Neodiprion lecontei: one gene and its partner. The protein of the gene in region 1 interacts with the protein of each later gene in a pairwise test. Links are inferred from orthologs where the notes say so. Each region holds a gene or a part of one and is shown in the gene's direction. Other genes may lie near its edges.

Region 1 (4,939 bases):
GTTCTGAATTTTTTTCAATACAGCTTTTTATATTTCAGAAAGAAATCTGAATCGGAAGAAAACAGCAGCGCCTCATCCAACTCTGATTCCGACACACGTCCACCTTTTCGGCATGCAAGTAGAAGTGTGTTATCTAGACTTGTCCAGTATACTTTTTACTCTGTGATAAATACAGGTGTGGTGATGGACCAAGGTGTGACGGCTGCTGCGGTATTATATTTACCCATTCTTTTCACTTTCAAATTTTTCCAAACTGTTGCTGTGACCACTTTTGACTCATATTTTTCAAAAACTAAGATGTATAAAAGATTCAGGATGAAAATGATAAATTTTTTCTAAGAAGCACAATTGGATTGGTACCGTAATAAAATCGTATACCTAATTTATATTGTCAAGATATTTCTGTCCGAATTGATAAAAGGAATGTTTATGCTTTCACAGCTTTGCAGATCATTTCTCGCTCTCTATCTAAAGCTAGACGAAAGCAACGTTCATTCGAGTCTGGTTGATTCATGGGATAGAGCAGGGTAAGGTTCTGATAATAATTAACCTGTTTGTATGCTAACGAGTGAACAGTTTCAAGTTTTGTAACAACATACAACGACAGAACAATTTGGTATTGCCAGTATGTATGATACATAATACGTATGATTGAAATCCCTCAAATAAAAAAACTATGCTTATAACCTGATATTATTTTTGTTCCCATTTAAATTCCTATTTATCAATACTCAAATATGGTGTTCCTTGCATTCAAATAGTTGAATATCACCTGTTTTTATCACACTAGCAGCGCTTCTATCGATTCACAGTAACTGAAGTCATGCCTGTTCTATCAGATCTCTTAAGCGATATTGAGGGGTTATTATATGTTTTATTTTCATTCTAGACAGAAGATAACAGTGTTGAAAGGGTATAATCACAAACACCTCGTATACCTGGCAAAGAAAGTACGTCATGTAGCTGTTGAATCAAACACTTTATACAGAACAACTGGTCAGGCCAGAGTAATGCTGGTACTAACAGCGTTTGGCCGAGAGGAAGATATGGAAGAAGCATTTGACGATCTGTGTTACTTACATTGACGTCCATGTAAACAACTTGATTTGTCGGCATAGATGTAGCGGGCAACTTCACTGCCACAACGTGACATATCTCTTTGACCGTGTGTGGCTTATACTGTGTGTCAAGTCATTAGAAGCTATGTTACTTATTTAAAGAGCCTCAAAGTCGTTTTGGACAGAAATTCAAGTCTAACAAATATTTTGAATAAATAATAACGAATCAATACAGGGTTGCACATATCACGGTTTATAAATTCGTCTCTGTTTTTGTTTTTCCTAGTTTTTCTTACCGCAACGTAAACGCAACAGCTGAAGTATATCTTGTTCTAACACTAGTCTTTCAAGCATTACGAATTCACAGCAGCGAATCCGTATACGTACCTAACCATTTGTCGCTCAAGTAGAGCTAAGTAACTAATTTTAATATTATCAAGTTGTTGTCAAATATGCGTACTTATACTTATGCATAGACGGTATCACGTACAGAGTCGGGAGCTTTTCTACGCTTGTTTGCATCGTTGATGGGAAAATATTGTCAATTAACACGTATGCGGTGTTTGACATATTCCGCGATGAATTTTGAATTCGTCCGTGATACGAGCAGGGCTCACCGTGGGTCGAGAAGGCAGTGAGACACGCCCCACCACGTCGATTTTGTCGGCAGTCCGCTTGCGCGCGCTCCGCGCGTTGCGTAGACGACGGCAGGCGCCCAGGTTTCGGTGCCGAAACGTCGCGCAGCCGCCCTGCGCCCGCCGTGTTTTATGCAACCAGTTTTGCGTCGGAGCAACGGGTTGGTTGGTGTGGTTGGGTGTCGAGCGCTGCAGCGTTCGGCGGAGAGCAGCGGGGTTGTCAGAAAGGCGTGTGCTATCTGTCACGGTCCTAGTAGCAAGTAGGATTGCTGTCAAAACGTCAGTGAATGGAGGCGCGTGTCCTCCGGCCATTTTCGTAGTTTCAAAACCGCCTGACAAAAGTGTGAATTCCGCATTGTGCTAAAAGGCGGTGTTTGCGTGTGCGCTCTCGCTGCGTTTTGCCCCCTTGTGCTCTCCGTGCCGAGGGTGGAAAAATAGGTTGGTGTACGTGATAAGTGACAGTGAAACGAAGTAACGGACGAACGAACGAACAAACGGCTCGCGCCGAACGACCAGCCTACGATCGCTGCCAACTACCGTAGGACCAGACTCCGCGAGGAGGCGAGGCGAGGCGAGGCGAACGCCGTGGGCCACTGCCCCCTCCTCCCCCCCCCCATTCTGCTACTACCACGCCGTGTTGAACGGAGGCAGCGGGCTTGTCGGCCGGCATAGACGAAGTCATGGCAGAGGATGAGGTCTTGTTCGACGATGTTTACGAGCTCTGTGAGATTATCGGAAAGTGAGTAAACTCGGGACTCTTGATTCTCATCGGAACGAATAGAGAATATTCTACTCCCTCACATTAACCTAGTAACGGTCAACGGTTCGAATGTTTGTCCGCTGACACACTGCGAGCGTTTTCGTGTCCACGATTGTATTTTGTTTTTCAACTTTTCAGGTGTTTACTACACTCTTTACCCGCCGAACGAATTTCGGTCGGTATTCGAATGCGATACCGAAATTTCGAATAGGCACACTTCTATTATCATTGTTTATAATTTTGTCACACTTGAACCTAACCTGATTGACGGGCGTTTCGTCAGCGTGATCTCACATTTCCAGGTATACGTGTCGACGACGCACACACGGGTGTTTACCTACTCTTCGAAATGCTTATTACGGGAGTATGTGTGGATAGCCTGACTTATATCAGGTGTAGTTGGCCATCTTGTGTTTACTTCAGCCCGCCAAATTCAATTATCCGTTATCAAGACTAGTTTATTTTCTCTCTATCACCGTCAACTTCAAAGTGGAAACGATAACCTCAGTCTTCTATTTTCCAACGACATTTTAACGAGCAGTTGGAATTTGCTCGTTTTAAACTTGGTACTATAAATTCCAGGTTCACTGATCGTCTCCTTTGCATGTTACACAGGTGAAATTTGTCCGGAACTATGTAAGCGCGCGTCAGGGTTTCGATCTAGCGTATTATCTTCAACTTCTATTTCATTCTTTGAAAATTAGCATAGGCAGATTATTTCATGCATATAGACATACCTAGTCCACAGTACCTTTATTCACGTACATAGGTATATTATTATACATACACGGACTCATATGCTTGCATGTATGTATCAGGTCGGGAGACGGGAATGTGTTTGATATCGATTATTTTGTCCCGAAATATATCCACCGAACAGGAAAGGGGAAACGAATATGAAAAACTTTTGTATTACCACATATGCCAGTCCTTGGGTTTTACCGTTTCCGAGTCAAAGTTCAACCATAAAGTTTTCTACAGATTAAAGCCCAAGCATAATGTTTTAGACGAGTATCAGGCAACACGTGACGGACGAACAAAATGTTATACACCAACGATTGCCAGGAAAGTAAACTGTGACGGACCTTTTACTCTTCTTACCTGAACGTCACAGCGTTAAAATGCGCCACGAAAAAGTTAACAGTCCTTGACGTGAGTTGACAGTTGAATTTATGGTACGACCGTCGAGTTGAGCTTACTCTGGGTCTTTGTTGGTCTACATTGGACTCTTATTCAAACAATCCTGTGAACAATTCTTAATCTCCCAAACTAGATTGAGCTGTGGCGCTGTGGATGCACTCTCTAAATATGAATTAGTTATAAGTATACCACTGGAGAAAATCATTGTGCATACACTGGAAGTCAATGACACATTATCAGGCTGAAATTGGTGACGTAACAAAACCTTAGGCTAACAAGTCGACATTATCGGGCAATTTAAAAATGACTTTCAAGGAGTTGGCTATTCAAAATTAAAGTATATTTTGTTTGTAATAGTTTACTAAGTCTCAGGCATTCTTAAAAATGCGGATTAGCGATTTTTCTTGAACATGCATCATTACAGTAACGTTAATAACTTCACCCTGTGAAGTATTAGTAAAAACTCACTGAATCGTCAGTGCATATGTACTGATTTTTTCCAGTCGTATACTTATGATTGGGAATCAGCGAATTTTCACTGATTCAAATCCAGAGAGTGGGCTCGGCAGAACTACACTCACGAGCAGGTATAAGGGTTTTATTATCGAAAGAAATTTGTGCACTACGCAGTAGTATCTGTATTACTTCATAAATCTTTTAAGCATTTTATGATTTAATGACAGAGAATATTCGTCGTGTGCGTTGAAACTGTACGACCGTTGCATGTGAGTTACATGAATACTTGAATGGTTCGAGTCAATTTGCTGTTCGTCAATTGAAACTAACCTTTAGCTGGTCATACCTAACATACCTTGCGGTCATTTGTGACGTAAAGGTTTGTAATCTTTAGCTGGCACATTTATCTGGTCTAACATTGCTGGTACCTTGGGTCGACTGTAAAATTTAAAATTATTCTTGGGATCTTTTTTATCTTGTAAAAGACACTTAGGTGAATACTCAAAAAAAATAAAGTTCACATATTAAGTTGCTTCATTACAGCAATCAATTTTCGATCGGAGTCTTCAATGACCCCAAGGTGCCAGCAATGTTATACCAGATAAAGGTGTCAGCTAAAGATTGAGTGAACACACGTTAGATATGCAGATCCAGTTAGACGCAATCGACGAACGTTTCTTTATACTTGGTCTATTTTTTTTTGTTCTCCTTAGAACGGTTCGTTCCATCGATCGGTAATGCGGTTCAGAGTCTAATGATAAGTCAACCAATTTGATCTTCAACCTTCGGTATAACTGGGTACCTACAATTATATATTTGATCATATTAATACATTGCTCGGCTTACTTTATTCCTCCCACTCAGGGCTGTCCTACACTTTTGCGGTTTAG
Region 2 (4,646 bases), on another chromosome or scaffold:
TCCAATTTCAGAATGACACCATACCAAATTCACAGGCAACGGATTGGTATATTGAAAGCGAGGATCAAGTAACACTGGAATGGTTGCACTGCAAGATAGAAACTGTCATGATACTGAATATGGAAAACAGCACATGTCTCGACAGTAAAATATAAATTTATATATGTTACATACATAATAACTGTAATAAATGGATGTATATTTTAATCAATCTTACGAAAAAGTAAATAAGATTGTCATTGCAGAGAGAAAAGTACATATAAACTAAAAGTATTATGATTTCATTGTAAACACACTGAATTATTTATTATTAACTTCGGATGAATCTTGGCTTTGGCACAGTAATTAACGAGAGACATTTTCAGATTGAGGCGAATGTTGCATTTTCGAATCTCTTTAGCGATGATATATTTTCCTGGCATTGTGATAAACTTTATATATATATATATATATATATATATGTGTTGAAAAAAAAATTGAATTTTTCGTTCCCAATAAAAACGGTAAATGAGAAATACGCAGGTCACAGTGACTGCTTCAGTAAAATTATGTCCTTACAAAAAAGTTATTTTATGATGATCAAGACTACATAGTGTAACATAATGTGCTCACTATCTTTTCTCACTATTGCTATCATTTCGTTACTAATAACAATTTCCCCACTTTAAACAGCACATCTAACGGCACTTGTATGTTTCGATGCATTTGTCAATGTGCCTGGATTATTATTATTATTTGCATACCGTATTTCAACAAATCAAAAATTAGGTGTTATTTTATCCTCAAAAATCATATTCCAATCATGTAAATTACGAACTCCTGTCCTGGTTCTAATAAAAATAAAAGCGAGATCGAACCGAGCTGCCTTGTATTCCCTGCCTCTTTGTTTTCATTGTAGACCTGAATAATGCAAAATGATCTCACTAGCGTCACTGCCTGATAAGGAATTATTTGTAAAACTTCTCTAGAACATTGTAAACGACACCGTCAGCGCTTATTTACTTCAGTCAACGCCGTTGGAAACATGGTAAATACATTTCCATCATTGATGAAGTATCTTGACACTTGTTAGATGAACAAAAAAGGATGCGCTTGATTCTAATTACGAACAGTTAGAATCATGGTGATTTGAATCTAATTTATCATAATCTTGGCATAGATATTTGAAGAATAAAAAATTGAAGAAGAAACAGATTTTTTGCAACACCTGCATGGAGAGTCCATTTTTATGTACCATTTACAAGCACCGAAAGTAGTCTTTTATACACTTGTGCGGGAAAAACTTTCGCACATTGCCGGCGGTATAAGATAAACCTTCGCACATTGCTAGCGGTATGCGAAAAAGACGGTCGCACTTTTATCCATAGTTGCGCATTTCGTAAACAGCTGCACTAGCGCCAACGACGGAATGGTTTGTCACTCTTTGCCGTGCTCGACATCGTCACTGAACAGACATCTTGCCGTGGTTTCGTGTAAATATAATCGTGTATGTCGGACTTTCCATTACAGGTGTAGAAAAAAATAGAGTTCGATACTAGTGCGCGAAGGTGGCAATGCCCGCACAAGCGTGAAGGCGCAGCACGAGCCCGGAGACGAGTTGGAGGTGAGTCGAAGACGAACCGTAGACGAGTTGAAGGGCGAGTGTGGCGCCTTCACGCTTGTGCGGGCATTGCCACCTTCGCGCACTAGTATCGAAAAACACTATTATTAGATTTATAAATCTCACAATTACTTGAATTTGAAATTCTCAAACAGATTTCCCGCCCATTCGGGTCGATTATCGACAACGTTACGCTTCTCGAATACGCCGGGCATTGCAGTCAATTGTCAATCTTGCGTTCGTCTCAGTCTCTGAATTTCGTTCTGTCGCATACAAAAAGCTACATTCACCGGAAAATATAATTGCGATAAATAAAAATCGACATACGTAAATATTTTGCAAATAAGATATTTAGAGTTGTCAACAAAGTACGAGCACAATGGCAACACACGCGGTATGAAGCGCTTTGGTTTTTGATAAAATAAAAGACTGTCAATGTACCGGGATTTTTATCATGCTGACTGCGACAAACGATTTTTTGCGCATAATTTTATTATATATATATATATATATATATATATATATATATATATATATATATATATATATATATATATATATATATATGTATATATAATGAGTTTTCTTTTATTTCATATGTTGCATGTATTATTGTTCAACCTATATTTTAGCTTGACAAGACTACTTAATTACTGTTGGGCTTAATTTGGCACGACACATTTTATTGTTTTTTTCTGTACTGGGTGCCATATGTGTATGTTTCAGATCATAAAGAACTTTCGTTCATCGCTGATTCCAGCACAGTCGAAATCTCATAGATCGTTTTTTTATTGGATTACAATCATGTTCAACAGGTAGAGACATCAACAACTATTACTCAAGTCTTTAATCATTTATAAATGAATATGTTATGAGGTAATGCATGGAAGTATTATACAGCATATATTTGATAGATTTCAAAGAAGACATGTTAGCAATGTAAGCGTCCATCAATAACTTTTTTTACGTATCAATCGATACATTCAATGGAATTTTCTTTTATAGCCAAATTATCGTGGTGCTGAATGTTTACCTTGAGAGAATGACATATAGTTGAGTCTCAAGAACTGGTTATTTAAAGGGTGGATGAAAATCGAGTTAAGGAAGTTGGTCCAGACCGAGCCTGTGCGGAATGGCTATTAAGAAATGGAGCTGCAGTCAAATGGAGAGAGGATGGAAGTATTCTTTCAGACTACAATGCTCTTTCTTCGTTGGAAGAACCTCAGAAACATATTGAAGCAGTTGATGCTACCAATTCTGCTATTAGCTATCATGGATTTCCACATTTCAGTAAGTTAATCAATATTTGACGATTGCTTCAATACAGGTTTCCAAGGCTATGACTTGGGAATTATTTTTCTTTCTGTTTCACTATGGTGAACATATTCCACTTATGCAGGAAGTAAGAGCACTTATGTTTAATTGTAATGAAATTTATCATTTTATTCGACACTATGTGATCTTATTGAAATTTAGACGGATGCAATTACATAAATGAAGTCAAGCTAGTCAACTGTGTTTACGTCGAGGATCCAGCAATTCCCCTACTTTCTATACTCAAAAATACCTTGAAGCATCTTGAGATAAGTAACTGCCTTAATATTTCCGAGAAGGCTCTATTCGATCTGAATAAACTCACGTATGTATTCACTTTACTTCAAATTATGCCGAAATTGATCTCTTGTAATCCTATTTTTTGTAGAAAACATCCCATGATTTTTTTTATTGTACCTTCATAATTGTGAATCCTATTTTCTTCACCCCAAGTATTTATCAATGCTCGTCAGTTACAAGAAAAGAAAGAATTAACCCTTATATCACATGAGTTGGATCTAATATGATCTGGAATACTGAGAATTCATTTATTTTTTCGTTTTCAGAAAGTTGAAGAAACTGAAGCTTGGAAATTTGCCGCAAGTGAAGAATAAAAGTGAAGTTATAGAAAAGCTTACCAAGTCTTTGCCAGATTGTAACATTGTCTTTACATGAGATTTGTCTGTGTAACAAAATTTACTTTACAAATGTTTATATGTAACTGTAGAATACGTAGATATAAATAAATCATCGTAATAACTACTATCCCCCAAAACAACTCAGGTGCTAAAACCTTGCGCTAAGTATGTAGATACAAACATTGGAGTGAAAACACCGACAAAAATTTACTTTGCGATTCGAGAACCACCAAAATAATAAATCACAAAGATTTATTTCGAAAAATGATGAAATAAATTCTGACAAAGATACCTTTACGTACAGAAAATATTGAAATCAATCCTTACTGTTAAGTACGCAACTTTTTAAAAATAAGAAATTACGAAAATAGTGGATTAGGGATGAAATAAAAAATTTTGGAGCTTTTGTTGTACTTTGCATTTTTTTAGAAGAATATCTAAATCGTTGGCATTGCTTTCGAAAAATAATGAGGTTTCTAACTGCAAAATATTTACGTACATGGCTGGATTATCTGACAATGAGCTACACACGTTAATAATCATCGAATGAAGGGTATCAAACAAGTTTCAAATATCTAAAGTCTTAATAAATAAGAAAGGTCGTAGAAGTTTGGTGAACTCAAATATGAAGTTTGATTATTAGATTGTGTTTATTTATCAAGCAAAGTAGATTTGCAGTCTCAGTCGCGGATACGAATTTACAAAAGTAAAGTTAAGAAAAAATTTGAAACACCTACTCATTGTTGGAAATGGTGAACGGAACTGGAATATGAAATTTCAATTGTTGATATCATTTTTCAAGTCAGGTATAAGATATTCAGTCACACCGGCGAATATGAATAACTAGAGTAAAGTGAAGAACTAGAAAACTAAAAAATAAGAGTATAAAATATCTTTGAATCACGTCTTAACAAAGTATATGTGAAAAAGCGAAAGATGAAGTAAAATCCATCCGCCGACTAACAGAATTGAAAATAGAACTGACTAGAGTAAATCAGGAAGGCTCATTATCGTTAGAAATGGTAGATCAGATTGAAGTATGAAGTTTTAGTGATCTACTCGAAGGGTGAACAGCTCTTGATGTCCGATGTACA

The links. The genes of interacting proteins can lie anywhere in the genome.
Region 2: the proteins of peripheral plasma membrane protein CASK (region 1) and ATP synthase subunit s, mitochondrial interact in a two-hybrid assay, tested with the Caenorhabditis elegans proteins (3 studies listed by BioGRID). The link is inferred for Neodiprion lecontei from reciprocal best matches to the Caenorhabditis elegans genes lin-2 and C05C8.1.

What each region holds. Positions count from the first base shown.
Region 1 is NC_060262.1:31,566,658-31,571,596, forward strand, and holds the start of peripheral plasma membrane protein CASK, read left to right. Parts: upstream 1-1,904; 5' UTR 1,905-2,373; coding exon 2,374-2,432; intron 2,433-4,939. Other genes in the region: uncharacterized protein LOC107218162, read left to right, coding at 39-210, 442-527, 890-1,085. UniProt on the Caenorhabditis elegans protein: May play a structural role in the induction of the vulva. May be required for the localization of signal transduction molecules (such as let-23 receptor) to either the basal membrane domain or the cell junctions.
Region 2 is NC_060263.1:27,341,307-27,345,952, forward strand, and holds ATP synthase subunit s, mitochondrial, read left to right. Parts: upstream 1-1,671; 5' UTR 1,672-1,979; coding exon 1,980-1,994; intron 1,995-2,326; coding exon 2,327-2,415; intron 2,416-2,681; coding exon 2,682-2,890; intron 2,891-3,076; coding exon 3,077-3,239; intron 3,240-3,480; coding exon 3,481-3,589; 3' UTR 3,590-3,959; downstream 3,960-4,646. Other genes in the region: vacuolar protein sorting-associated protein 13C, read left to right, coding at 12-155.